Linked DNA regions of Daphnia pulex. The protein of the gene in region 3 purifies or fractionates together with the protein of the main gene of each other region. This does not show direct contact. Links are inferred from orthologs where the notes say so. Each region holds a gene or a part of one and is shown on either strand. Other genes may lie near its edges. The genes, in order: 116 kDa U5 small nuclear ribonucleoprotein component-like, U5 small nuclear ribonucleoprotein 200 kDa helicase-like, RNA-binding protein cabeza-like, small nuclear ribonucleoprotein Sm D1-like, splicing factor 3A subunit 3-like, zinc finger CCCH domain-containing protein 18-like and splicing factor 3B subunit 3-like.

What was found.
Region 1: the proteins of RNA-binding protein cabeza-like (region 3) and 116 kDa U5 small nuclear ribonucleoprotein component-like purify together in Homo sapiens (affinity purification with mass spectrometry; 3 studies listed by BioGRID and IntAct, with this or other methods). This does not show direct contact. The link is inferred for Daphnia pulex from reciprocal best matches to the Homo sapiens genes FUS and EFTUD2.
Region 2: the proteins of RNA-binding protein cabeza-like (region 3) and U5 small nuclear ribonucleoprotein 200 kDa helicase-like purify together in Homo sapiens (affinity purification with mass spectrometry; 3 studies listed by BioGRID and IntAct, with this or other methods). This does not show direct contact. The link is inferred for Daphnia pulex from reciprocal best matches to the Homo sapiens genes FUS and SNRNP200.
Region 4: the proteins of RNA-binding protein cabeza-like (region 3) and small nuclear ribonucleoprotein Sm D1-like purify together in Homo sapiens (affinity purification with mass spectrometry; 3 studies listed by BioGRID and IntAct, with this or other methods). This does not show direct contact. The link is inferred for Daphnia pulex from reciprocal best matches to the Homo sapiens genes FUS and SNRPD1.
Region 5: the proteins of RNA-binding protein cabeza-like (region 3) and splicing factor 3A subunit 3-like purify together in Homo sapiens (affinity purification with mass spectrometry; 3 studies listed by BioGRID and IntAct, with this or other methods). This does not show direct contact. The link is inferred for Daphnia pulex from reciprocal best matches to the Homo sapiens genes FUS and SF3A3.
Region 6: the proteins of RNA-binding protein cabeza-like (region 3) and zinc finger CCCH domain-containing protein 18-like purify together in Homo sapiens (affinity purification with mass spectrometry; 3 studies listed by BioGRID and IntAct, with this or other methods). This does not show direct contact. The link is inferred for Daphnia pulex from reciprocal best matches to the Homo sapiens genes FUS and ZC3H18.
Region 7: the proteins of RNA-binding protein cabeza-like (region 3) and splicing factor 3B subunit 3-like purify together in Homo sapiens (affinity purification with mass spectrometry; 3 studies listed by BioGRID and IntAct, with this or other methods). This does not show direct contact. The link is inferred for Daphnia pulex from reciprocal best matches to the Homo sapiens genes FUS and SF3B3.

What each region holds. Positions count from the first base shown.
Region 1 is NC_060028.1:8,367,832-8,371,780, reverse strand, and holds the start of 116 kDa U5 small nuclear ribonucleoprotein component-like, read right to left. Parts: upstream 2,801-3,949; 5' UTR 2,581-2,800; coding exon 2,260-2,580; intron 2,192-2,259; coding exon 1,867-2,191; intron 1,795-1,866; coding exon 1,670-1,794; intron 1,599-1,669; coding exon 1,351-1,598; intron 1,288-1,350; coding exon 1,125-1,287; intron 1,054-1,124; coding exon 918-1,053; intron 846-917; coding exon 168-845; intron 98-167; coding exon 1-97. UniProt on the Homo sapiens protein: Required for pre-mRNA splicing as component of the spliceosome, including pre-catalytic, catalytic and post-catalytic spliceosomal complexes. Component of the U5 snRNP and the U4/U6-U5 tri-snRNP complex, a building block of the spliceosome.
Region 2 is NC_060022.1:2,646,595-2,650,709, forward strand, and holds the start of U5 small nuclear ribonucleoprotein 200 kDa helicase-like, read right to left. Parts: upstream 2,801-4,115; 5' UTR 2,756-2,800; coding exon 1,465-2,755; intron 1,458-1,464; exon of another isoform or gene 1,452-1,457; intron 1,400-1,451; coding exon 246-1,399; intron 177-245; coding exon 1-176. Other genes in the region: zinc finger protein 704-like, read right to left, coding at 3,877-4,110. UniProt on the Homo sapiens protein: Catalyzes the ATP-dependent unwinding of U4/U6 RNA duplices, an essential step in the assembly of a catalytically active spliceosome. Plays a role in pre-mRNA splicing as a core component of precatalytic, catalytic and postcatalytic spliceosomal complexes.
Region 3 is NC_060020.1:5,621,666-5,625,632, forward strand, and holds the start of RNA-binding protein cabeza-like, read left to right. Parts: upstream 1-1,167; 5' UTR 1,168-1,262; coding exon 1,263-1,275; intron 1,276-1,494; coding exon 1,495-1,734; intron 1,735-1,799; coding exon 1,800-1,916; intron 1,917-1,978; coding exon 1,979-2,048; intron 2,049-2,716; coding exon 2,717-2,751; intron 2,752-3,497; coding exon 3,498-3,628; intron 3,629-3,694; coding exon 3,695-3,824; intron 3,825-3,888; coding exon 3,889-3,967. Other genes in the region: DNA repair protein RAD51 homolog 4-like, read right to left, coding at 109-277, 342-540, 616-878. UniProt on the Homo sapiens protein: DNA/RNA-binding protein that plays a role in various cellular processes such as transcription regulation, RNA splicing, RNA transport, DNA repair and damage response. Binds to ssRNA containing the consensus sequence 5'-AGGUAA-3'.
Region 4 is NC_060020.1:8,496,612-8,499,325, forward strand, and holds small nuclear ribonucleoprotein Sm D1-like, read right to left. Parts: upstream 1,532-2,714; 5' UTR 1,383-1,531; coding exon 1,369-1,382; intron 1,182-1,368; coding exon 1,105-1,181; intron 942-1,104; coding exon 741-941; intron 683-740; coding exon 597-682; 3' UTR 501-596; downstream 1-500. Other genes in the region: GPALPP motifs-containing protein 1-like, read left to right, coding at 1,964-2,437, 2,525-2,695. UniProt on the Homo sapiens protein: Plays a role in pre-mRNA splicing as a core component of the spliceosomal U1, U2, U4 and U5 small nuclear ribonucleoproteins (snRNPs), the building blocks of the spliceosome.
Region 5 is NC_060028.1:1,228,033-1,232,062, forward strand, and holds splicing factor 3A subunit 3-like, read left to right. Parts: upstream 1-1,286; 5' UTR 1,287-1,399; coding exon 1,400-1,543; intron 1,544-1,608; coding exon 1,609-1,767; intron 1,768-1,827; coding exon 1,828-1,900; intron 1,901-1,958; coding exon 1,959-2,050; intron 2,051-2,114; coding exon 2,115-2,336; intron 2,337-2,399; coding exon 2,400-2,710; intron 2,711-2,771; coding exon 2,772-2,880; intron 2,881-2,941; coding exon 2,942-3,016; intron 3,017-3,084; coding exon 3,085-3,286; intron 3,287-3,358; coding exon 3,359-3,492; 3' UTR 3,493-3,530; downstream 3,531-4,030. Other genes in the region: moesin/ezrin/radixin homolog 1-like, read right to left, coding at 1-27, 603-644. UniProt on the Homo sapiens protein: Component of the 17S U2 SnRNP complex of the spliceosome, a large ribonucleoprotein complex that removes introns from transcribed pre-mRNAs.
Region 6 is NC_060020.1:4,875,959-4,880,127, reverse strand, and holds the start of zinc finger CCCH domain-containing protein 18-like, read right to left. Parts: upstream 2,801-4,169; 5' UTR 2,658-2,800; coding exon 1,969-2,657; intron 1,913-1,968; coding exon 1,717-1,912; intron 1,649-1,716; coding exon 1,574-1,648; intron 1,507-1,573; coding exon 1,355-1,506; intron 1,282-1,354; coding exon 976-1,281; intron 892-975; coding exon 367-891; intron 292-366; coding exon 1-291. Other genes in the region: trehalase-like, read left to right, coding at 3,382-3,464, 3,530-3,870, 4,030-4,169.
Region 7 is NC_060019.1:9,348,735-9,352,688, forward strand, and holds the start of splicing factor 3B subunit 3-like, read left to right. Parts: upstream 1-1,154; 5' UTR 1,155-1,309; intron 1,310-1,635; 5' UTR 1,636-1,691; coding exon 1,692-1,917; intron 1,918-1,982; coding exon 1,983-2,153; intron 2,154-2,340; coding exon 2,341-2,617; intron 2,618-2,809; coding exon 2,810-2,960; intron 2,961-3,171; coding exon 3,172-3,413; intron 3,414-3,580; coding exon 3,581-3,759; intron 3,760-3,818; coding exon 3,819-3,954. UniProt on the Homo sapiens protein: Component of the 17S U2 SnRNP complex of the spliceosome, a large ribonucleoprotein complex that removes introns from transcribed pre-mRNAs.

The DNA.
Region 1 (3,949 bases), on a different chromosome or scaffold from region 3:
ATTGTGATTTTATTCTTTTTGTTTGGAGTTTCGGCAAAACATTTCAGTGAGGACGTTTCCACGACCGTTTCGCAAAAAGACACCACAGGATCAGCAACTACAAGAAAAACCAAAGTGAATTAGTTAAATTAGAAGAATTAACAGTTGGGAAGAAATGAATGGCAAACCTTTAATGTCGATTTCCGAGTACATTTTCCTGAGATCGTGCATGACACAGTCCAGGTAAAGTTCGCCTGTTCCAAGAATAACGTGCTCGCCCGACTCCTCCACTCGCGTCGAGAGCAACGGGTAAGATTTGTTAACCTTACGCAGACCGTCCAACATCTTGGGCAATTCGCTGGGATTCACCGGCTCAACGGCAATTTTGATGATGGATTGCGTGTTGAATTTCAAGGGTCGGCAAATGTACAAGTCCTCGTCGACGTGAACCTGGACGATGGTCGACGTCTTGACCACTGAGGCATCGATCCCTTCGATCAAGACCCAACTGCCTGCCGTTACTCTATTGACTTCGATCTTGTAACGGGCCTCGTATATCCAAAGTCGACCGATCGTCAACACACGTGAATCTTCTTCGTCATTGAGCGAATAGTTTTCACCCAGGAGTCGGACGTTCTGGTGAGCGTGAAGGGTCCCACTCAGGACACGACCCAGGACATAGAATCCAGTGCAGTCCTCTGTGGGATACTGTTTGGTAGTATGGACAACCAGTTGGCCGTTGGGATCACAGTTGACCATGTCTTCGCCCAGGATGGACTCCAGGGGACCTGTGTAAATGTGTTCCACTTTGGTGCGAGCAGCCGTTACGGGCGACGGGACGTGTTTGACGCACATTTCCACGAAACCTACACACACCAGTCAAACATTGACATTTAAAGACCGTTGCTTCAATTCAACATACATTTTAATTGACATACCGCTGAAAGTGCCCAGGTAGCGACTGCAGACCAGTCTCAACAAGGGGCGAGTGTTTAACCGCTGTTCCTCGACAGTCAGGCGAATGCCAAGTTCGTCCAGCAACTGCGGTAGACTCGAATCCAAATCTCCCACAACCTAAACAAGCAAAAAATATTGGAAATGAATCAACTGTTCAAATTAACTGCAAAGTTGTCCTTGGTACATGCCTGGGCAAAGATTTTGTACAACGGCTCTAAAATGAACTCGATGAAACTTCGCTGAGCCGAGCTATGTGGCGGCTTTTTGGTGAACTTTCTCGTCTTGCTGTTGAAGTAAATGTCACCCCACAGACGACGTGCTAACTCGTTGTCGTTGATATCGGATCCGTATCTAAAATGAAAGAAAATGAAGTTTCATTTAAGACCGTCATTGCCATTGTGGACGTGTGCGTACGTGTCACTGTAAAGTTTGGCGAAGGATTTAAGGGTGAAGCAAACGGAGAACTGGGCAGAAGCAAAGCAGACGTTGCCCAACAAGGGCGACACGAATTTTGGATTCTCTTCGTCGCTGTACAGGCCCAAAAGACCGTTGATCTCTTCAATGATGTAGCGCAACTTGTAATATGCGTCCTGAGGTGGCAGCTTGAGCTCCAAAATGAGTCGATCGATTTTGTTGATGCAAACTGTGATGGCCATTTTCTCCTATGAAAGGACAGGGTTAAAAAGAAATTCTTGGAATAACCAAGTTGAAGTTTTTTTTTTTTTTTAATTACCTGGACGGCGTGCTTCAAGATTCGTTCCGTGTTGAGCATGACACCCTCGACAGCGTCGACAAAGAGGACGATACCATCGCAAAGTCTCAGGGCAGCCGTGACTTCATCTGAGAAGTTGACGTGACCTTTAAGAAACATCAAAATCGATTAAATACATTTTTCCCCCCCATTTTGCAAGTTGGAAAACTGTAATTTACCAGGTGTGTCGAACATGTTGAGGAGGAAGGATTTTTCGTTCAGGTCGGGCATGACCACGGTAATGGGCGTCGCTTTGATGGAAACACCTCTCTCTTGTTCAGTAAAGAGTGTGTCTGTGTATCTGACAGGCTTCTCCTCTCCACTGCCAGGTTTTCCCGTCTGGAGATCTGGGTGTGTTTGCATGAGCAGACAATCCATGAAGGAAGTCTTGCCATGGTGCAAATGACCAACAAGGGCCACTGAACGAATAAGTTCTGCAGAGTCCATGAGATCAGCCAAAAACTCCATGTTATACGTGGTTTCAGGGAGTTCTTGCTCAGCAACCTAATGAAAATGGGTGGAAACAGGTTAATCAACAAAATGAAATATGGCAGCGAAACAATTTGTGGTACCTGAAACTTCCTTCGTTTGACAGGTGCGATGATGGGTTCAGTCAAGGGCTGAGCATCTTCTTCCTGCACCAGTGTCTCCACACCAGGTCCGTAAACCTCCAACGCTGATGGATAGTATTTTTTGTCTTCATGCAAAACAATGGCCATCTGTGCGTCGCCATCAACCACCGTTTGATCCATGGCCTCTTCGGAATCATTGTCACCATAGTCTTCGGCTTCGTCATCGTGATCAGCCTCGTCTCCTTCCTCATTTTCGTCTTCATCTGACTCGAGTTCGGGTCCAATGTAATTGCCGAATTCGTCGTAGAGATCGGCGTCCATTCTTGACAGTCAACTGAGTCGTTTGCTGTCTGTAAATTGGGCAGATACTTTGGATGTTGTCGATCGGTATTCGGCTTAACCCAACACTCACAGTTATAAAGCTGTTTCAAAAGGGAATTTCAGAAAAGCCGGGCCTTTCAAGAAAATGCGTTTACTATGCGTACAGATTTGCACGCGCTCAAAACGAGCGACACTAGCGACATCTAGCGGGTGCCAATGAAATCTGAATTTAAGAACAGCGCCATCTACCAGCTAGCAGGTGGATTATGAGTGGCAAAAAAAATGAAAATAAAATAAAATGAATAAAATAAATAAAAATAAAAATAAATAAATAAAAATAAAATAAAAGAGAAAAAAAAAATTCACAGCGTAATAAAATGCAAATGGGAATCCCGTTGAGGGCGGGGTTTTCCCTACCCGAATAAGGAAATGTTTCTGGCGCTGTTTTTTTGCTTGTGCACTGGAAACTGAAATCTAGTTGTGAATTTATATAGATGACGTGTCAGTCGCTATCAGGTCGGGTCCACGACGGAAAAAAACATTTTGTAGGAGAAACAAAGTCAGTCGAACACGGGCGATAATATCAATCAAAGCGGGCGAAATAAGGAGTAAAATGCCGTCATGTTTTTGAATTGAATAACGGAATAAATCTCAGCAGTCGTCTGATGTCTACGCACACAGTGCAGAATTTCAGTTTTGCCGGGCGATGGAAGCCCCCTGGATGGGCAAGTGCCCTTATATGATTTATTGCTGCCGACTCGTATGGAAAGATATATTAGACGTCTTTATCTGCAGACGAGTCTACAGACGAGCGACCCCGATTTATATATTCGCTTGTTGGTTTGTTGTTGCCAAAAGGAAATCACAAAAAAAAAACCCAAAAAATACTTGGGATGATATGGGCAGATCGACAAAATCAATGCCGGCCATTCGGTGATGTAGACCAGCCCAGCCCAGCCCAACTAGAGTTCTCCTTCTGTCCATGGGTTCTCGGTTGATGGTTCTTTTTTTTTTTTTTATTCGGGATATAATCACCGTTATCGGCGATGCTTCGAGTTGCTTGTTCTGTTTTTGTTGTTTGCAGCAATGTCATCCATTGTGTAGGCGGATAGAATGTACCCGGTTGAATGTCGCTGCACACATTTAGACTTGGCCAACAGCAGCAATCGACTTCCTCCTCCTTATTCCTCGTGCGTGAATTTTCCGTGGGGGTGTCCAATCAATAGCCCGACAGACTCTGACTGAGATTTTTTTTTTTTTTGGTTTGTTTTGTTTTTCTCTTTTTAAATTTCTATCCATCATCTTTTTTGTGTCTGCGGGGGGGTCACTATACTGTCCGGTGTGCATTGCCACGGCGGTGTAGTCTGTC
Region 2 (4,115 bases), on a different chromosome or scaffold from region 3:
AACTCGCTGTGGTTGGTGATGAGGATACCTTCACCTTTGGTATCGTACTGCGGTCGACCAGCACGACCCAACATTTGCAAGACATCGAGAGATCCAAGTTCGCACCATCGACCTTTCTCCGGATTGTAGACTTGCGTTCCTTTGATGATGACAGTATGGGCTGGCAAATTGACACCCTAATATTGGTAAAAAAATCGTTAAAATTTGACCTTTTCTAAAACGCTCTGATTAGTTATTATATTTACCCAGGCCAAAGTAGCTGTGGAAACGAGCAACTGGATGTGACGATCAGCAAACAAATCTTCGACCAAAGCACGGTCCACACGGCTCATACCAGCGTGATGGATGGCAAAACCATAGGGAAGTAGGTCCTTCAGCTCCTGATTCTTAACTTGTTCGGCTTCATTGCGCAAAACTTCCGTAGAAGCGGAACCCTCACGTAGAAAGGCTCCCAGAGAGTCTTTCTCCAAACAAAGATCGCGGATGGAACGTGCTGTTTTGCCGGTTTCTTTCCTCGAATGAACGAAGACGAGAATTTGATTCTTGCCGGCGTGCTCCATTACCTTCTCGTATACAATTTCGTTCATAATCTGATAACGCTTAACAGCTTTCTTCTCCGTGATTCCAACGTACTGCTGTTCCAAGGGTACAGGGCGGTAGCTGTTGTCGAAGAAGAATAGACCCGTCTTGGGTCGGACACGCAAGAAAGTGGCCACATCTTCGTAATTGGGAAGCGTGGCAGAAAGACCCACCAATCGCAAATCTTCTTGAGTGGATTCGACGGTGCGGATAGTACGAGCTACCAAGGCTTCCAAAACTGGACCACGGTCGTCGTGCAACAAGTGAATTTCGTCAAAGATCATCAACTTGACCAGTTGCGTGTAGGTTCGGTCTCCTGATTTGCGAGTGATAATGTCCCACTTTTCGGGCGTGCAGACAATCACCTGAGTTTGTGCAATTTCTTCACGGCTGAGTTGATGGTCGCCCGTCAATTCGGCAACTTTCAGGTTGAAAGGCGCCAGTCTTTTGCCAAAACTGCCCACCATCTCTTGTACGAGCGAACGCATGGGTGCAACGTAGATGATTTTGAATTCATCAACGCGAATTGTTCCGTCCGGATTGATGTACTTGCCCAATTCTCTCATCATTGTCAACAAAGCCACGTTGGTTTTGCCGGCGCCGGTTGGGGCGCAAATTAACATGTTCTCATCCGATTCGAGAGCTGTTTTATAGATTTTAGACTGGATTCTGTTGAGCGTTTTGAATCCTTCGAAAGCTGGTTGGGCGTAGGTTGGAAGTTTATCGATAGGAATAAGCATTTCATCAGCATCAAAAGGCCTAGGTTTCAATGGTGGCACATGAACTTCTTCGTAGCCTTTACGCTGTTTTCGGAAAGAACCTGCAATACAAGTCCATGTTTAAATTTTGATTGAAATTAAAAGATGAGAAACTAAATTATTATACCTTCTGGAAGTGTACACTTTTTGTTGGCCATGAAGTGAGAGCCCTGAGCGAATGCAAGATCCTCCAAGTCCAGTAGCTCTCGAAGACCTGGAATGCCACTGTACCCTTCCTGTCCTCCACCTCCGACTTCTTTGGAGGCAGAAGTACCTTGACGTGAACTCTTTTTAAAATCGACTTCCATCGGTTCGATTCCAGTGTCGTCCCTCACAGTATCTAATTGTCGAAGGATCTTGTTCAGATGGGGATTGCTCTTCATCTCGTCTTGAATGCTTCGACGTTCAGCTTCGCTCTGTGCGGATGCCAGTAACGAACAGTAAAGAATCATGTGTCTGTTTTGTTTAAGCAGCTTGATGAAGTCAAAGCAGTCAAAACCAAGCAAGACAACTAGCTGATTTTCACATTCTCTTTCATCCTGGATATTCTTGAGGATGTTGAGGACTTCACCGGCTCTGGCTTGAGACACCATGGGGTCACTGTAAAACTTTGACAGCTTCCTCTGAAGCCAATAGGCATCAATATCGAGGGGATGCAATTTCTTCTCTTTTTTACCGCCCAAATCGACGCCACTTGCGACAGCATCAGCATGAATGGCATGGTCTGTTTCAGCTTCATCAGCTTCATCCTCACCGTCATCTTCTTCTCCAATCTCTCCATACACATTTTCTTCTTCGTTTTCTTCGTCTGTGTCTTCAAATTGCACATTGATGCCATACTGGTCGTCCATTTGCTCTTCTCCAGTACCCATTTTCTCGTCTTGGCCCCAATCTGTGATCTTCTTACCCAGGTTAACGAGCAGGGCAAATCTTTCTTCTGGCAAGGAGCCAAGCATAGCCTCTGTTTCCTTTTTCTTCTCCTTATCCTTGAGCTTGTCGTTCTTGAGAACCGTGAGGACTTCATCAGCAGCACCACACAACACATCTCTGGGTTGATCACTCAACGCTTCCTGAATAAAACTGAGAAGCACTTCGTAAGTCTGTTTGGTGTCCTGCGTTTTGGGCCTGTAGATGATGCCAGAGATTTCATCCAGGTTGTCGCTTTGCAAAGGTCCTTTTCCACCATTTTTACCACCAATATCAGTTTTGTTGGGATCACGCTTCTGACGTTTTGCCGGTTTCATCCGTTGGGCTTTGTCACCCATGCGAGTTCCTTCCAACTTCCCAGTAAGGGACATAACCTCACCGGTGGCTTCATCTCGTGCTCGGCGATCGATTAAACGAACGTCAGCTTGTAAAACCAAATTAGAATTGGCTTTATACTCGTACTGGAGCGAACGTGCTGCGGCGTCCGCCATTTCTTACGGCTTGCTTTTAGACACTGACGAAAGTTTCGTATGCTGTTCGAACAGGCAATTGACAGCGTTGCCAGTTTGTAATAAAACAAAATTCAGAATTCGAGAGGAAATTTGTATATTGAAAAATTTAAAAATCTCGCCATAAAACTCTGGGTCGACACGCGCGAAAAAAGGGATAAAAAAAATACAGAAAAAAAGCAATTAAGAAACTAAAACACCATTTTTGTAAGGAGAAAAAACCAAACATTTTTCAAAAGTCCATCGGTCTTGAGAATGAAATGAGAAAAAAACACAGAAACAAAACCCCCCACTATGCGAACTACAAAGGAGATGGAAAAACAAAATCAGGTCTAAATAGGGTAAATCTATAAACGTTAAAATTCACGCAGCGTTATTGCAAAAATAACTCTAAATCGACGAAATAAAGAAACATTGGTAGAGAAAAAAGCCATCTAACGCTGTACAAAGCTTTTTTGAGAGTAACGCAGATATGAGGTGGGACATAGGGATGAAAACAATATTTTTTCAATGATGTTGTACGAGAGGTAATAACGACACCAGTCAGAGAAATCGTCACTGAGCTACGGCAGCCTGGTCAGTGGCAAGATACAAAACAACACTGCATCTTCACAACGAAAATTATGCACACACAACAACACGCTCCGGCATGAATTTGTCATAACAAATACGAAAGCCAATAATAATTAAAAAAATAAAAAATAAAGTCAAAACGTTTTTTTGTCTTTTGTCAAAAAGTTGCCCGCAAGTAAAAATGGTTTCAAACAATATCAACCGCCCAGCGCGCCAAGTGTCATAGATCTTTTGAGATCCGTCATCCGCACAAAAACTTGGCTCCTATTCCGCAATACATCCAGCACCAGACATCAAAATTTAAAAAAAAATTTCCTGTCGACAACAATAAAAAGAAAAATAGCCATGAAACAACAAAACACAATCAGACAAAGAAAAAGGAGGGGAGACGTTTGTTCCATGTCAAAATCAAGCGGAAAACGGATTAAATTTCTACAGTCGGAAATCCGAGCGGTTGTTTTTCTTTTTCTCGGAAAGGATTAAATAGTATATATATACGTACACATTGGGGTGTGGTATAGTCATTTGTTTCACTCGCCGAAGCGAGTGCAAGCCTTTTTCCATTTGCATTGAGTGCACCACTGCTCGCGGTGTTCCATTCCGTAAACCTTGCGGCACTTTTTGGCCTCGCCGCGGGGCCGACGAACGGGACTGCTCTTGACTGTAAAGACCGAAGCTCCGGTAGTAGATGGTGGCGCTAGTGGGGGCGCCGGTGAAGGAGACGTTTTGGGCGACACAACCACTTTGGCCTGTTTGAGCGCATTCTAGA
Region 3 (3,967 bases):
AAAAACAAAACATAAAGTTGGATTAAGTCTCAAAGGTGTCCATGCCTTATATGTTTTCGGCACTCGAGGGTTTAATTAACTGATGATAAGTCATTTTTATGTACATACAGTCGTTAAATGCGTCCCCACGTATGGGTAAGAATAAAGTGGCTAGACTGTCAATGATGACAAGTTTGTATCTTTTCATTTCTGGAGTCCACAGCAGTTCCAACAGTTGATAGACATCATGTATGTGGCAGAATGTAATCCTTTCTAAACTCTTCACATAATCACCATCCTAAAGAAAGAAACCTCTGTCATTTGCCAAACTCAACAAAATAACCACAATTTGTGCTGCAAACTTTGTCTAAATTTTGCATGATATCTAGGATTCGCTTAGGATTTGCATCACCAGTAGTGATGTAACAGACTTCATACTGTAACTTTAGAGCAGTATTTGCTGTCAAGTGTAAGGCTAATTGAGTCTTTCCAGAACCAGAATCTCCATAAACTTCTACCAGTCTCCCACTTGGAATTCCTCCATGGAACATTCGATCAACACTATCTTATAGAACAAAATTTGGGGGAATTATTATGTATAGACAATTGCATACAATTATTTAGAAAACTTCTTACATCTCAATTCCACTATGAATAACAACTGTTCTCTTCAACATCATGTCATACAGTTTGTCTCCTCTCATGGGTTTGCTGTTGTTGGAAGCTAAGATTTTATCTTTGATTTTGATAATTTCACTGACATTTTGAACAATCAATTTAGCCATTTTGTCATTGTTGTACTGCACAAAATCAAGAGTAGTTAAAATTTTATGGGATTTCAGTAATTCTAGTTTTTCTTTTGTCAGTAAGGGACTGACACTTTCCGATAAAAGATTCATGAAATAAAAAAGAAAGCAAAACAAACAAAACGATCAAAAACAAATTTAAGTCTGCTCAAGTTTGAAAAATGGAGAATGTCAAAGGAGTTGCCAATAGTTTCAATTAACACTTTAGCTTTAACTGAAAAGCTGCTAAAAAGTCATTGAATTAGCGCAGATAAAGACCAGATTATTGCATATTTAATGTTTGAACTTAATTCAGGAATATTTCAAGCATATTATAAACAAGTAAACTAAAATAAAAATAATTTTTTTTTAATATTTGAATCTTTACTATTTCCACGATTAGGCAGCTCTGTAGCGCCCATTACCCAAGCTTAACCGGAACAGGGAGAGTCGGCATTTTCTATAGTCATCTCGTTCTGACGTTATTGTAACAAAACCATGGGAGACAATCGTAAGTTTCATTTTTTAATTGTTAAGTTGACATCTAAATTGATTCGACAATAAATTTAGCGAAATGATGATGTTATTGGCAGTCCGAAAACTGTTTGTTTAGAGTTACACGTACGTCAATTTATAACCCTGTCTTTACCATGTTGTGGCCCAAGCTTGTCTGGGAATCAATATCCCATCTATAAAAAGGACTCATAGTAATCTTATTTCATATTTACAGAATATGGATATTCTGGAGGAGGTGGTGGTGGTGGTGCCTATGGTGGCTACAGCAGTTACGATCAGGCTGCACCTGCCTATGGAGGTCCTCCTTCTGGTGCCCCTGTAAGCGGTGGATGGGGAAACCAAGGTCAAAGCGCAGCACCATACTCTGGGTATTCTGGCGGTGATGGCCCAGTTGGCGGCTACAGCACTCAACAAGGTGGTGCTGGTGGTGCACCATCCACTGCATATCCGTCAGGTTTGTTAACTTCTAACATTTCGTCATTTCTAACATTTTGATCAACACATACAATTTTACTACAGGAAGCAGCAGTGCTGGTTATAGTGCCTATGGCGAACAGACAGCTTATGGAGGCGGTGGTGGTGGTGGATCAAGTTATGACAATGCAGGATCATATGGTGGATCAGCAGCTTATGGCGGTAATCATACTTTGTCCTAGCCTATTTTATTTAGCAAATTTAACTTTATGTTATCATATCAGGTGGTGGTGGCGGCGGAGGTGGTTACGGCGGCGATAGAGGTGATCGAAGTGGAGGAGGGGGAGGATTCAGGTGAGTTTTGTTATTCAAATAGCTGTTAAGATAGTGTAGAAAAATTAAGTGTACAGTTTGATTAAAGGTTACAACCAGTAAAAGGGAAATTTCAAATTGCGTTCAAGAATACGAAAGTTTGGGTCCAATGGTATCTTTAAAACAATGTTTTGGTATTACGTAAAAACTTAGTATGCTCAAAGTCATTCGGGTTTAACAAACGGGTACTCACGGTTTTCACTTCGGTGGAGCAAAAAACAGTGTTGTGATTCAAGTAAAAAACATGAATATCTTAATGTGGTCGTTTCGGATTGATGGTAAAGAAATTTATCCATTTTTAAATACGCGGAGTTTGGTATGTGACCATCACATGTAACAGTTTACAACGGTTATACTGTGCCAAGTGCACCCAACATTGGTTATTTAAAAGAAAGTAGTAATTTTTTTCATATTGCATAATCTGAACATGGTGTTTTGGTAATTTGTTATTGTTTGATTTGTTTTACTTCATGTTTTTTTTTTAATTATTCTTATTTGTAGTAAATTTCGAATTTTTTGAATAGTATTATTTGCATAAGTTATATCATATTGTGTTCCATAATAATTTGAAAGCAAGATGGCAAATGCATCTTAGCCAATTTGGTGTCAAAGACAGGGTATAGCAAAATGTATCTTTCTGGCTATTGCAGTCATAACGCTGGAAGCAGAGACGGGTTTCCCAAAGGTAATTCAAAGGTTCATCTAACGATGCCTTTCTTACTGTGTCTACTTCTGGTACGGTTTGTCACAATCTTGCCGTTGTGGTGGTGAAAAATCTTCGACATCCAAATGGCATTCCTGTTGGTGCAAGTATCAAGCAAAATACTCTATCTCCATCTTTATTCTTATCAAATCTCCTTGTGCATATTTACGAATCTACGGTACAGAATTTCTGTACTCTTTGATAAAAGAGTTTCAGACTTTCTGCGTGTACAGTGATATACCTGGAGAATGTTACCTTTGTATGCTACGGTATTTCAGTCAATTGTCAGCCACTTTCCATGAATTTAAACCCCGAAAGAGGCCGAACGTGTGGTTCTAGTCTTTAAGTGGTGTGTTGGGTAAAAAAACTTATTTCCACCAGAAATTGGTGGTTTTTTCTTTAAAAAATTCCAAATGGTTGTGTGTAAAGAATCCCCAACAAAAATGGTGTGTGAGTGGTTTAAAGAAATGAGTCCAGAAAACCTATGGGTGTATCTGTAACGTGAACAGGTCAATTGAAACTGGTCCTGTAAAGGGTAAGAACAAAGGAAGTGAAAAAGTGGGGAGAGAAATCGGCTAAAGGTTAAATTTACTCATGGAAAGTTTGGTGAACGGTCCGACTATAGTATTTAGCACATCCTAACCCAACTGTGGGACTTGCTTCCTGCCGCCGTTTATTTCAATTGTGAGTACCTGCATTTAATCTTTAATGTATGTTTCGTTGACAAGGTGGAGCTGCACCAGGAGCCGTTGCTGATGACCGTATTGTTATGGACGACAGCGTGTTTGTTTCGGGTCTTCCTGAAAGTGTGACCGAGACCGAGATCGAAACCTTTTTTGGTTCGATTGGTGTTATAAAAGTATTTATTAAAACATCCAAATCAACATTTTTCATTTTGATAATTTTTATTCTTTTGTCTCGATAGATTGACAAGAAAACTGGCAAACCTAAAATCTGGTTGTTCAAAGATCGTGACACTGGCGCTCCCAAAGGAGAAGCAACAATCACCTACGACGATCCTAGCGCCGCTAATGCTGCAATCCAGTGGTTCCATGGTTCGTAACTTGTATTATTATGATGTGTTTTCTTTCTTAGCCATTTTTTAAATTTGTATTACAGGCCAGCCATTTAATAACGGACCAGTGCTGAAAGTCTCTATGGCTACGAGGAAAAACAACTTCCCTGGAGGCTTCCGTGG
Region 4 (2,714 bases), about 2.9 Mb from region 3:
TAGAAAATTAGGAGCAGATATCGCCGAAAGCCTCTTAAACGCAAATACCTCTTAAACTGAAGTTACAAAAGCAAATAAAACTTGTAGCCACGACTGTTCTTAAACATGTCAAGTTTTCCTTAAATTTGCGACATTCTTAATTTAAATTAAAGTTTAATGGTTTAGTCACAAAAAATTGAATAGTTTTAGTCTAAATTTAATAGAAAAGTAATTTAACTTTCATTTCCATCAAACTTTCATTACTTATTACACCGCTCTTTACACTTGTTTTTTCCCCGACTCCTCTGACAAAATGGCAAGAATAGTCAATATTCTTGAAATAAGCAAGGAAACGTTATGCGATGTCCGCTTATAAATCAAGAAAAGGAATTGACGGTTCTCTACAAATTATCTATGCTTACATGGGAGTCAATTGGAATTGATAAATAATTCTCATACAGACTCAACTGTGGGGAAAAAAGTGTTTGTTTTAAGGACTTTTCAACTGACCAAAAAACATATAAGACAATGACAATTTGTAATGCAAATGAAAACTGATTCCACATTTGCTGAAAAGAACGAAAAAAAAAATGGAAAATCGTTGGAAATTACAAATTTCAGCGTCGAGGACCAGTAGCACCACGTCCACGTCCTCGTCCACGTCCTCCTCTGACAGCTCCGCGTCCACGGCCTCTTCCACGAGCTAAAAAAAGAAAAGAAAATGAAAAGAGGAACACAGTGATAAGGGGAAAAAAGTTTACCTCTACCGCTAGCATCCTTCTTCTTGGCCTTGGCTTTCGGAGAATCATCCAATAGTAAGGTTTCAAGAGGAAGTGAATCAGGTAAAATGTAGTACCGGATGTTGTTTCCTCTAATACTCAAAGTTTCAAGCTGAACAGGGTCTCTGTTTTTAACTGTCATTTTCACAGCTTTTAAATGAGTGTTCATAGCAACATCAACTCCTATAAAACATAATCAAATGAATGAATTTAGTAATATACAAAACGGAAAACTTTTCTTCTAAAATGTCACTTATGTGTTTGCAATTTCACTAAGTTTTCGAAGAAAGTATTTAAGGATTGCAGTAAAATAAAAAATCGAATAAAGACAACAAAATTGAATTACCTGTTATTGTTCCATGAACCTGAGTACCATTTTTTAATTCAATAATGACTGTTTCGTGGCTCAGTTTCATCAAAAACCTAAGGATTATACAAAATAATGGTATTTATTTCAATTGAAAGCAGTGAACTATTTAAGTTGTGAAATATAGAAACGGCATAGTTTCCCAGACGCATCCAACAACCGGCTTAATACCCAGACCAAACCGATTTTTGTGGCTACTTTCTGTACGAATTTACTTGACAATGAACATATTCCGAAACTTACCTCACTAATTTCATTTTTGATAAACTTGTTGTTTGATGGCTGTAATAAAGTAAATCACCATATACGACTTATTGAATGTTTTAATCCTTAGTTTAGTGAAACGCACGAGGTACGCTAGTCAAAAACCAAAACTGCTTGTTGGAAGCATAACTTATACTAAAAAGGCCCTGTGACATTTCATATTTCATAACGGTCGATGACTATGATTTTTGTACTTGTAACGTAGCGCCATCTACGCAAATATTTTGAATTTTGTTATTAGACAAGGTTTATTTTTGCATATTTTAATCAAAAATTAACTAATAATAATTTTTTTTTATTATTTTAAATTTATTTATCAAAATAAATTCATAAATCCAGAAGCATTATCGAAGCGTATCATAGAACCGCATAGAACACAAGTGGCATGACATGAGTGACAATAAAACGTACTCCAAAACAGAAAACACATGAGACAGGCCTGCATACTATAACAGCATTTCCAGTAAGCTAAACATTGGGTTTCGGTTTCACCTATTTTCGATTTTTTAAAAATAATTCTTTGTCGGTAACGCATTCTCAATTTCCCGCGTGGTTTTAATTTTTCCCTCTCAAAATGTCTCGAATCGGACCAACATTACCTCCTCATCTTCAAACAGCGTATGAAAATGATGATTCAGATTCTGATGAAGGTGATCTCTACGGACCAGCACTTCCCGCTCATTTAAAATCACAGAAAGTGTCCAGCAAGTTAGTGCAATCAAATATCTCCAATGACAGAGGATGCTCTGTTAATCATGAAGTTGACTCTTCATCAGATGATGAAGTTATTGGACCACTGCCAGCTGATTGTATGGATGCTGAACATAGTTCATCAGTTGACATTGAACAGCGGGCTCTTAAGATGAAGAGGAAGTTGCTTGGTGTGGATGATGATGAAGCCAACAAGCAACCAAAAAGAGAAGATTGGATGATTGAGCTTCCAGAACTGAAAAGGAAAAACTTTGGCCTGGGACCTCGTGTCTTTAATCGTTCTGACAAACCTGAGGTTGTAGGGAGAGATCAATGGACTTCAACACCAACTTCCAAGGTTCAGATAGTACAATAGATACACATATAATGAAATTTTCTTAGCTGGTCATTGCTAATTTCTATAATTTAATTAATATAATTTTAGCAGCCTAGTACATCCAAAGAAAAAGATGAGGATTTTGAAGCTGAAATGAGGAAACAATACTTGGAACAAAAAAGGAATAAGAAGCTTGAGAAAATTGTGGCCATGCATGATAAATCCAAGAAGAGGTCAGAGAGTTTGTTGAAGACACATCAAAAGGAAATGAAAAGCAAGGTAATCCTACATTTTTATT
Region 5 (4,030 bases), on a different chromosome or scaffold from region 3:
CTCGCGCGAACAATACGCACGGAGAACCTGGAAAGAAAGAAAACAACAGGAAGAAATTAATGTCAGACAGACAGACTGGGGTTGTTGCTGGTGGTGTAGAAGAGATTCAATAGCATATGGTCAACAAAATCTAAAGTACACAGATGGTCAGCATGTGGGCACATAGCTAGAGTGATGGGATTCTATATGTATATGTGAGTTGTCGAAAGGCCAGAGTGACTTCCCAACACATCCTGTCCATTTGGCAGGGTGCCGTCACAGTTTAGCGAATGCATCAGGGTTGATCGAAAACCAAGACATTCCTTTTGAAATGTCAAGAGGAGAAAAAATAAATTACGGTTGAATGGAAAGAATACAAGGAAGGAATGGTGATGTCATGGCTGGCCCGTACATTATTTCCAAACCCAGAGAGATGAGCATTCATTCAGACACCTGTATTTCAACATGAGCCTTGAGTGTCATTGATAGGGAAAGGATGAAAATAAGGGAGGGGGGAATGCTTAGGGCAAACACTCGAGTCAAGAGGCCGAATCGTTTTTCGATTTTTCACGATTCCCAATGGCGAACACACCAAACACAACTCAAGAAACACACACACACACCACGCCTATTGTTTGAACGACGGCCACCTGATAAACAAACATCAAGTTCTTTTCGGTTTGGATGTGTGGATATACACTAAAAAATGTTAATCAGATTAAATGTAAAAGAATAAAACAGAAATAAGTACTGTTGCGTATACGTGAAAACCACTCTCTCGGGTGACAGCCACTTATAACGCACTGAATCGGCGGCGGCTCTCGACCGTTGTTGGCCCTCAGTATACCTCCCCTCTTCGCTCTTCTGCAATATGGCTACCAATAGCTTAGCTCAGCTTTTTTTTCTTTTTTCTTTTTATTTCGATTTTCAAAGACTTCGCTCCATCCCTCTGGCGACACTAGGAAACATTACCGTCCTGAGTCCTGACAGCAAAAAAATGCTCACATTTTCTTGGAATGCAATGAATGAAATTGGTTTTTAATGATTAGGAATAAATTAAAATTTTTAATTAAGCTAGAAAATTTATTAAGCTGTGTATATTGAGAAGGTAAATGAATCAAAATTTAATTTTAAGGGGTTTACACTTTACAGTCTTGTAAACATGAAATGAGTAACAAATCATCAAATTTAAATTTAGACAATATATTCTTTTATTTTAACGAATTGTACCATTTTAATAATTAAAAACATTATAATTAAAAAAGTGAAAATAGTTTTTGCAAAAAATCGATAGAATACTTTAGTTCTTACAACGGCCACCAGTTTGTTTTCCAAGCCCAAGCATTGTGATTTTTGCTCGTTTATTGCCGGCTTGTTTAAATTTTTTTATTTTATCATACAATTCAATTCATTAAAACCAATGGAGACTTTGCTAGAGCAGCAGAGGAGATATCATGAAGAAAAAGAGCGTATCATCGACTCCATGGTCAAGGAAACAATCTTCAAAAAGACCACTCAAAGGGAGATAATCAACTCGGAACACCGTCAGAAAATTTTGCTTGACGTATGTAAACTTTGGCTCATACAATTGAACAAACAACTCTTAATGTCGTATTTTGATAACTGTAGAGGTATATGGAGAGTACAAGAGTTTTGAAAGAGATCTATGAAGACAAGGACGGACAGCGCAAAGAGGAGGTGGCACTGCTCTCTGGACCAAATGAATTTGTGGAATTTTACAACAGACTAAAACAGATCAAGGAATTTTACAAAAAACATCCAAATGAGGTATAAAACACATTCATTTTCTTTAAGTGTCATTCAATAGCAGTTGGTTTTGTTTCACAGATTGCTGTACCAATGTCCATGGAATTTGATGAGTTTGCCAAACAGAGAGAGAGTGGAGCTGACGAAACAAATAGTAGGTTATATCTGACAGAAAGCACAGTCATATAAAGCTAATGTAATTTGATTTTCAGATTTGGTTGACTTTACCGATGAGGAGGGCTATGGCAAATATTTGGATCTTCATGAAAGCTATGTGAAATACACAAATTTAAAAGGAATTCAGGTCAGTTTATAGATTGAAACAAGAAACAAATCGAAAAAAATTAACACAGTTATATTTCTTACAGAAAATTGACTACATTAGCTACCTTAATATGTTTGACCGTCTCTTTGATATTCCCCGGGAGAAGAAGAACGCTGAATACAGAAACTATCTACAAGCATTGGTGGATTATTTAGTCGATTATGTTGCTCGAGTAAAACCAGTCATGGACCTTGACAACTTGTTTCATGAAATCGAACAAGATTTCGAAAAGGACTTTGTAGCGGGTACATTTCCTGGATGGCCGGTAAGTCTATTTACGACTGTTTCTATTTTCTGTCCAACCTAACTAACGCTGGCAAATTTATAGAAAGAAACAACCGGAAGTGCTTTGGCAAACGCAGGTGCGGCGTTGGATATTTCAGCCTTTTCATCTTGTGAGGAATTGGCATCTCTAGGACTGGATCGTTTGAAATCAGCATTGATAGCTTTGGGTCTCAAGTGCGGTGGAACACTCGAAGACCGTGCCAAAAGACTCTTCAGTACAAAAGGTCTGTCGGTAGATGAAATTGACAAATCTCTCTTCGCCAAAGGCCAGGGTAAAAATCGAGGTGCTACCGAACAAGATAAGGAAGCCGAAAAACAAAAGAAGATTGCCCTTCTGGAGGCTCAAGTTTATAAGTAATTCCATTTAAATTATTGAATGAAATTGAATGAATAATTAATTGTGAATAATTCATAGACTGATTGAGATCTTGTCTGAACCACGGCATGCTACCAAAGAGAACGTGGAACGTAAACAGGCCCGAACAGATGGGGAACGAGAGGAGGAAGAAGAAGACGTTGTCGAGGTATAACTTAATTACTTTGACATATTTCCTTAAACTTTAAATTCTCAACTGCCATTTTCAGGTCCCCGAGGATGAAGATGAAGACGATGACGTCCCTTACAATCCCAAGAATTTACCACTAGGTTGGGATGGAAAGGTATAAATGAACCAACATTAATAATTGTGTAACTTTGTTCTAATCTTATCGATTCATCTCTTATCCAGCCCATTCCATATTGGCTTTACAAATTGCACGGCTTGAACATCAGCTACAATTGCGAGATTTGCGGCAATTACACGTACAAAGGTCCAAAGGCGTTTCAACGTCATTTTGCCGAATGGCGTCACGCTCACGGCATGCGGTGTCTGGGTATTCCCAACACGGCCCACTTTGCTAACGTAACACGAATCGAAGATGCAATTTCACGTAAGCTTTCAGTTTATTTTTGTTTTTCCTGTCCCCTACCGATTAATAATAAAATTCTAATTGAAACTTCAGTTTGGACAAAATTGAGAAGCCAGAAAACGTCAGAACGTTTCGTCGCCGATCACGAGGAAGAGTACGAGGACTCGATGGGCAACGTCATCCCCAAGAAAACGTACGAAGATTTGCGTCGACAGGGTCTCTTGTAAAGAAACATGACTGGAAAAATAAATCTTATAACTTCGTGCGCGGTTATATTTTTATTCCATCACATTTGCACAGAGGAAGCGCAAGCTCCTTGGTTGTTGTCGAGTGTCACTGTAATATTGGTAATCTTAATCTATGTTTCGATTTATCACTTTGTTGTCAACTTGTATTACTGAATCATCTTCCCATCACAAAACTTTGCTCAGATGGAGTTTTTCGTCATTCGTCTCAATTCCCAGCTCATCGACATGTCGAGAAAAAGAATATGGATTAATGCTTATGTGTCACTGATTTCCGTCGATATCCTCATCGATCAGCTACTTTTAGTATACTTGCATTTTAACACACTTAAAGTATATACCACCTTACTATAGGTATGTAATCTTAATCATATTCGAATTTTAAACAGTCATCTTATAACAAATATTTAAAACCTCTGAGCAATCACGATATTGAAAAGGCACCCCAAGCTTTAATCACTTGCTTATAATTGAATTTGTCTTTAATTGATAACATCTGTATTTGAAATATCGAAATGGC
Region 6 (4,169 bases), about 750 kb from region 3:
ACAGCTTTTCCTTTAGTTGATGGATGAGATGACGCTGGTGGAGGGTTTACACCTCGTAGCTCTTTACGTTCGGCAAAGTCTCGTCGGCCACGGTTCGATGGTCGACGGGGTCGTCCGATGTCATTTGAATGTGGAGATGACTCCCATTCACTAGAACTGGACGAACCGGAGGAGGCACGAGCTCGTCCTCCATGGGCTTTCGTGGGAGGGGCAGAGCTATTGTTCTTAGTCGCAGGGCGCATCTTGGAAAGAGATCTGGAACGTGAACGGGACGAAGAACTTGACCAGTCCCTATGTGTACCACGACAATATGCAAAACGTCACATTGAACTGACATATGCCTAGCAATGTAAGCTATTTATTTACCTATTTCGAACTTGAGGTGACCTCTCATGGATGTTCCGCTGCTTATCTGTGGGCTTCCGTGAGGATTGGGGGTGCGGGGGCGATAACGGGATGGGAGCGGATGAAGATGTTTTATGTTTGGCAACAGGAAGTGAAGAGACGGTCTTATGGTTCCCTTTAACCCGCTGGTCTCCGACTTTTGCCTTCCGTCCTTGCCGTCGTTTTACATTCATTGATTTAGATTTTGAAGTGGAACGTGAGCTAGCACTGGAACGACTGGAACGACTGCTTGAGCTCGAGTATGAACTCGAACTTGAGCTCGATGTCGACGACGATGTTGAAAAAGATGACCCAGACGAATAGCTACGTCGTCTAGAACCTTTAGCTCCAGCCGAATTTCCTCCGGCGCCAACGACTGCACTTGAAGATGGACCACCACCAGCAGCACCTCCGCCTCCAGCACCACCAGGAGATCTTGATCTCATCCACGGATCCCACCATTCATCACTACGTCCACGCTGAGCTGGAGGCACAACTTCCACGTATCTATATTGAACAATTTAAAAGGTTCAATAAAGGATTTTGTTTTGGTTCTACAGACGCAGTCACATTGCATCAATTAAAACTGACCTCTCATCAGACCATCTTTTTTCGTGAGGGGGAGGAAGTTGAGGTTGGGATTTACTGGCAGATGGATGGATATCTCGTTCACTTGGTTTTGGACCGTAGTAGTGCGGACGCTCATATCCTTCCGGATGATAGTATTCCCTTTCTCTATACTCTGATTCTGGTGGGTAAGGTCGCCGGCCTTCGTACGGATAAGGGTAACCAGGTGGGGGGTGGCGGTGAGGAGGCGGGTAGCGTGACGGAGGCCATCGCCCTTCAGCTGATGGAGGTAAAAATTTATGGTATGGTTCTGTATCTGGCTCTTCAAATCTAGAGGAGTAAAAAAATTAACAGATCCTATTTAACTCTTAAACAGATTTTAATGCAGTGCGATTTAACTTACGGAGGAGGGACGTCTCCATGTAAAACTGGACTAGCAGGTCGAGTGTAGTAGTCATTCTCTTTGTCCAATTCTTCCTCACCTAAACCTAAATTTAGTTTTTTTTCTTCGAAGTCAATGTCAGTTTCTTTACGATGACTGGACTTTTTGAGCATCTGTAAAGAAAACGTTTATTATGAACCCATAGCAATAAACTTAAATAATCACGGCATTGTCTCATACCTCTTTGGCTTGTCTCAGTCCTCTTTCCCAAGGTGATTCAGCACCGGTTGCATCAGTCCGAGGTGGCTCGGCCGGCTACAATTCAGAAATGAAGTTTCTCAAATAACGAAAATTGACTTAGCTGAAAGTAAGTAACCGTGTACCTGTGGATGTCGTGGAGGTCGAGGATTAGCGACCCTTGGCTGAGAATTTGCCCACTCTGCTGGCGGGATGAGTGGAACCACCGGTGGTCGATCAAAAGGTCTTTCGTAGGGTGCTGAAGGCCCGTTATGGGCAGATGGACGTGCAGGAGCAAACATATTGTAATTTCCCTTGTCTAATACTCCAGGATGAACAAATCTGTAAAACAATATCAATACTTTTTCTTTCAAAAAAAGAAAAATACTAGTTCTTACCTGCAATTATTACCCCAAGTACAATTGCCTTTACTGTAAAATCTACAAACAGGCCTAGGTTCCATGCGTGCATGTTTGCCAACATCTTCTTCGCTGCTAACTTCACCTTCTTCCAACTCTTCACCTTCCTCTAGTTCTTCTTCACTTGCTTCCTTTTCTCTCTGTGGCTTCTCTCCATCACATTCTCCATCTTCGTCATCTTTTTCAGGCTTTCTGTCTTCAATCGGCTTTTTGGGCTCTTCTTCAAGATTATCTTCTTCAAAGTCTAATTCAGTGTCTTTAATCAATGGATCCAAAATTTGAGGAGATTTTTTACTAGATGAATCTTTGCAGTTTTCGTTAGCTTCCATTTCATCATCTGATACCATTTCAAGACTATCCTCATCTTCTTTGCTTGAATCTGAAGCCATTAACTCTTGTTTATGTTCATCCAGCAAGCCACCTGATTGGGCATTTTCATCAAGCCCAATCACTTCTCCACTATCAGATTTTCTATCAATTTCATCTACGTTTGAACTCAGACGACTGGATTCAGCGGCTTGGTCCTGATCAACCATGGAGTTGCTGCTAATGCTGCTTCGGCTTTCCGGACGCGAATTCGTATACAACTGTCCTTCGATTATGCTTGAACTGGTTCCAGACAAGTCAGGATCCGGGCTTGCTGGAGCACTTAAACCGCTTTGACTCATTCTTTTACTAATATACGTTAAACAACAGTGGTAACCATCAATTACTAACTTTAGCCAACAAACTGGGAAAAACTACCAAAAATCCAAACAACCTGGCTTGCAACTAAGCCGCCATGACAGCCCCGTTTTTTGTCGGCTGTTTATAATATATGATGCCAATTAAATTTTGAACATTTCAATACATTTATCATCTATTCTATAGTCAGACGCAAACTATTTGAAAGTATTTAAATTTTTTTAACTATTTTTTTTAGATTTGGTTCACTCAAAGAGTTGAAACTGGAAAATAATAAGGTACTAAATTTTTTTATTTTTGGCAACGCTGAAACAATTGTGCGCGCACAAAAGAAAGGTTTGAAATCATGCGGATAGCGGATTTGCGCTTTTATCATTAGCCATTTAAGTTGAGTCAATACTCAACGAAAGAGTTTTCTGCTTTCGTCAACATGAGTTATCATTTATTTTTTAAGTTTCGGTGGACGGGTTCAAAACTTCCAATGTTCAATCAATCGTAGAGTTATCTGACCTGAAAATATTGACAAAAACAAGACTGATAAGTTTTTGATCTATCGTAGCCTTTTGATTACGAAACATAATTTTCGTTTAGTCACTTGATTCGTTTTCGTTTAGTCATTGGCCCATTGCATGTTTAGCTCCATGCTTAACCTCTCTCAAACATTTTACATTCTTTTTTAAGCAAAACATTTAAAATTCATATTATTGAATGTCTCGATTAATTACCGTTTTAGCAATAATTGCTTGGACCTTTTCAACTTCAACTTTTCAACTGCCACCACCCTGCCCCAGGCAAGAAAATTTCTGTAATCTAACAATGAAATTGCTTAATTACCAGAATTACGTTTTAATTTTAGCGAAATTTATTGCTATGGACCCCTGCTGCATGCTGTCCAAAACGCGGAGTTATACAAAGATTCCAAAACTTTTGTGGATAAAAAATTGCGTTTTAATCCAGAAATAGTCTTAACTAGTTTCTCACAGTTCATGACCGACACTGAAAACCAGCCAACCAAAGAAGAATTACAGGCATTTGTTGACAGCAATTTTGAAGCTGAAGGATTGGAATTCCAGAATTGGGATCCATCGGACTGGATCAGTGATCCTCCATTTCTATCTCAAATTAATAATTCAGAGTTCCGCAATTGGGGGAATCGTCTTCATGAAGGATGGAAATCTCTCGGGCGACAGATAAAAGGTGATGGTCTAAAAAGAAACATTATGGTTTTATTGATTTCCTTAAATTGCAGTCCAGTTTTCTTTCCGCCAGATAAGAGAATCATATTTTAAATTTCTATTCTTTGCTGGTGTTCTCTCTTTCACTGCTTGGACTATGGGCTCTGTGTTGTAATTCTAGACGACGTTCGTGATAATCCTGATTTATACTCCATTGTATATGTTCCGAATCCATTTATTGTTCCCGGTGGAAGATTCAGAGAATCCTATTACTGGGATTCTTATTGGATCGTAAAAGGTCTTCTTATCTCTCAAATGAAT
Region 7 (3,954 bases), on a different chromosome or scaffold from region 3:
TCAAATTCTTCGTTTTTTCTAGTTTCGTTTTTTTTCAAACCTCTAAACTTGTTCTTAATAGGAAACATCAAAAGTCAAGAGTTGATTTCCGACTGCAAGCCGTTCCACATTCCATCACTGGCGACAGAGGACGAGTTAATCGGTAAAGTTCGGGAACTCGATTGTTTCAGTCAATATGAATTGAATGACTCGAAATGAATTCAACGGTACATTATGAATTGAAAAAAAAAGATAAGTGCTTCAACACCCTTATTCGTTATTCCTTACCGCACCGCAAATAAAAATTTTTGAATAAGAAATTTTAAAAGATAGACAAGTTCGGGATGCTGAGTTGCACAACCGCAAAATTAGGATCGTGCGCCAACGAGTTTTTGTAACGTTGTGGGGATAGTAGAAAGCGGGTTTTTTATTATTTAAGCATAGAATTACTTATCTAATCTTAGAAATGTTCAGGATTATCGTTGTTTAGAACATTCTGCTTTTTATAGAGTAATTTTAAATGTATAATTCAGCTTAGTTTACCCATTAAAATTAAAGAAAGTCCAAGCCTGGGATGCTGTTTAGTCTTTTCTTGTGTTTTTTGACAGATCTGCTGACAAGTGACAAGCTCAAACACACAAGAAAAGACTAAACAGCATCCCAGGCTTGGACTTTCTTTAATTTGAATGGGTAAACTAAGCTGAATTATACATTTAAAATTACTCTATAAAAAGCAGAATGTTCTAAACAACGATAATCCTGAACATTTCTAAGATTAGATAAGTAATTCTATGCTTAAATAATAAAAAACCCGCTTTCTACTATCCCCACAACGTTACAAAAACTCGTTGGCGCACGATCCTAATTTTGCGGTTGTGCAACTCAGCATCCCGAACTTGTCTATTCAAAGCGTGGCTGCATGGTGGTTCTAGAGAGAAACTCGCGCGCATAGCAAGGGATCGGAATATGAACACGTCTTTTGAATTACTTTATGAGTAATAAAAACAGCTGTGAATAAATCATTCTTGATTATCACCACTGAAATTTTTTATTAATTTCACAATTTTATTGTATAATGCATTATGAAATCGTTCTATAAATAATAATAATAATTTAAAAAATCTTGTGATAAAGAAAGCGCAAATGCATTGAAAATGCTGTGTTTAGGGATAGACCAAGTAGAGAGTCGATGTCAGATGTTCAAAAATATTGCCTATCACACAATGCACGAGAAGTCGAACCCTAAACTCGAGCGCGACGCCGGAGCCAAGAGAGATTTCACTCAACCTTTGCTGAATTTTCCATCATGGAAAATCTGTAACATCCACAGGTAAATTCAAGTTTGACTACACATTTTAGTTCCAGATAGTTGAAAAGCAGTTATTTTGATGGTTAAATGTGTGTTTTTGGCGATGTTTAAAATATTGAAGCATGTCAATTTGAAAACCTTGCCGGGTGAGATGCCGGGGCTGTAGTTTCTTTCGCGTACTCGTCTAGCTATTAAAGAAAAGAAAACCCCTTACAACTTTACCGCCTTTCTGTGAATTAAGTTTGGTGGCTATACATGAGGGGGACATTAATTTTCAAATGGTGTGTAACATTGTCATTAAACATGTTGGACAAATGTAAGAATTATATCTGATAACATTTTCGCAGGTGATGCTCATCTAGGCAGTTCAAGTTACACATTGGACACGTCAACTTGAAAGAAAATGTATCTTTACAATCTGACTCTGCAGCGTGCCACTGGCATCATTCAGGCAGTCCAGGGCAACTTCAGTGGCACCAAGCAACAGGAGATTGTCATTGCTCGTGGAAAGGTACTCGAAATTGTGAAGCCGGATCCCAACACTGGCAAAGTACACACACTTCTCAGTCAAGAGGTTTTTGGAATCATCAGGTCAATCATTAGTTTCAGGCTTACTGGAGGAAATAAGGGTGAGTTGTGCAAATATAATTTTTAAAACATACATCCTGCTAACTTTCATTAATTCTGTATTTAGATTACCTTGTGGTCGGATCAGACTCTGGGCGAATTGTCATTCTTGAATACAATGCTGCCAAAAATGTGTTTGATAAGGTGCACCAAGAAACGTACGGCAAAAGCGGTTGTCGTCGGATTGTTCCTGGACAGTACATGGCAATTGATCCCAAAGGCAGAGCTGTTATGATCAGTAAGTTTTGATCCGTTTTTAATTTAAATTCTTGCAAGTGATGAGTTACGTTTTTATGTCTTCTTTCCCCATCTGAGAAAGATAATGCTGATATCTAACGTTTTTACTGAGAATTTTTTAAAATCGAAATCTTGTGGCTTGAGAGTGCGCATTGCTTTAACATTTATGTTTTTTTTTTGCATTGCAGGTGCTATTGAGAAGCAAAAACTGGTCTACATTCTGAACAGGGATGCCCAAGCCCATTTAACCATTTCTTCTCCGCTGGAGGCTCACAAGTCAAACACTCTAGTTTACAACATAGTGGGTGTTGACGTGGGATTTGAAAACCCTGTATTTGCTTGTTTGGAGATGGATTATGAAGAGGCCGATGGTGATCCAACAGGCGAGGCGGCACAGAAGACGCAACAAACGCTTACATTCTACGAACTCGATCTGGGTTTAAACCACGTCGTTAGGAAATATAGGTGCGTAACAAATCTTGGTGATTTTGGTTTTGCCTGGTTGGGTTTCAAAACCCCTTAACTTTACTGCTCTCTTGTCACTTAAAGATTGCAGCTATACATAAGGGGGACATTATCTATCATAGTGTGTAACATTGTTGACTTATGTGTGACAATGTAAGAAATATTTTGATGAACATATCTTTACTTTAATAGTGAGCCGTTGGATGAGCACGCCAATTTCCTCATCACTGTTCCTGGAGGAAACGACGGACCTTCCGGAGTTCTGGTTTGCTCCGAGAACTACATCACATATAAGAATTTGGGTGAACAGCATGACATTCGTTGCCCAATCCCCAGAAGAAGGGTACGTTTGATCATTTCATTATGTTATTTGGCGCGCGGTATCTCCAGCCGTGTTCTATACACGTGCTGGTCGACTAGTGCCTAAACTATACTTGGAGATGTTTGCATCGTTGGATTGTAATGCGCATATTGCATGCTGTCCTGGAACGAACCTCCGATAAGTTATTTATTCCATGTATTGAGGACGGTAGTAATAAGTTTTTTCTCTGTAGAATGACTTGGATGATCCGGAAAGGGGCATGATTTTCGTCTGCTCGGCTTCCCATCGCACCAAGGCCATGTTTTTCTTCCTTGTCCAAACGGAGCAGGGCGATATTTTCAAGATCACCATGGATATGGATGAAGAGGTGGTGAGAGAATTGAAAATCAAGTACTTTGATACCGTTCCAGTTTCGTCCAGCATGTGTGTGTTGAAGACAGGCTTTCTATTCGTCGCATCGGAATTTGGAAATCAGTTAGTTTTCTTAAATTTTTTTTTCTATTTGCTGAAATGATGTGTATTGTCATCCGTGTTTCACCTGAGATAACACTTTGATTATAATTTTTGACTCTGATTTCGGTTACAAAATTTGAAGTAGTTTTATGGGTTTTCAAGTGTATTAATTTTCCTTGTGTTATTAGTTATCTTTACCAGATTGCTCATTTGGGGGATGATGACGATGAACCCGAATTCAGCTCTACTATACCATTGGAGGAAGGAGATACTTTCTTCTTTGCTCCGAGACCTTTGAAGAATCTTGTTCTCGTGGACGAGATGGAGTCTTTATCTCCAGTTCTGGCCTGCCATATTGCTGATCTCGGTAGGTTTGATAATTCCTCCTGTTTTGAAAGGTTTTTAACATTTGTTTTCAATTTACAGCCAATGAGGATACACCCCAGTTGTATGCACTTTGTGGTAGAAGTTCTCGTTCGTCTCTTCGTGTTCTCCGTCATGGATTGGAAGTATCGGAGATGGCTGTTTCTGAACTTCCCGGTAACCCCAATGCAGTGTGGAC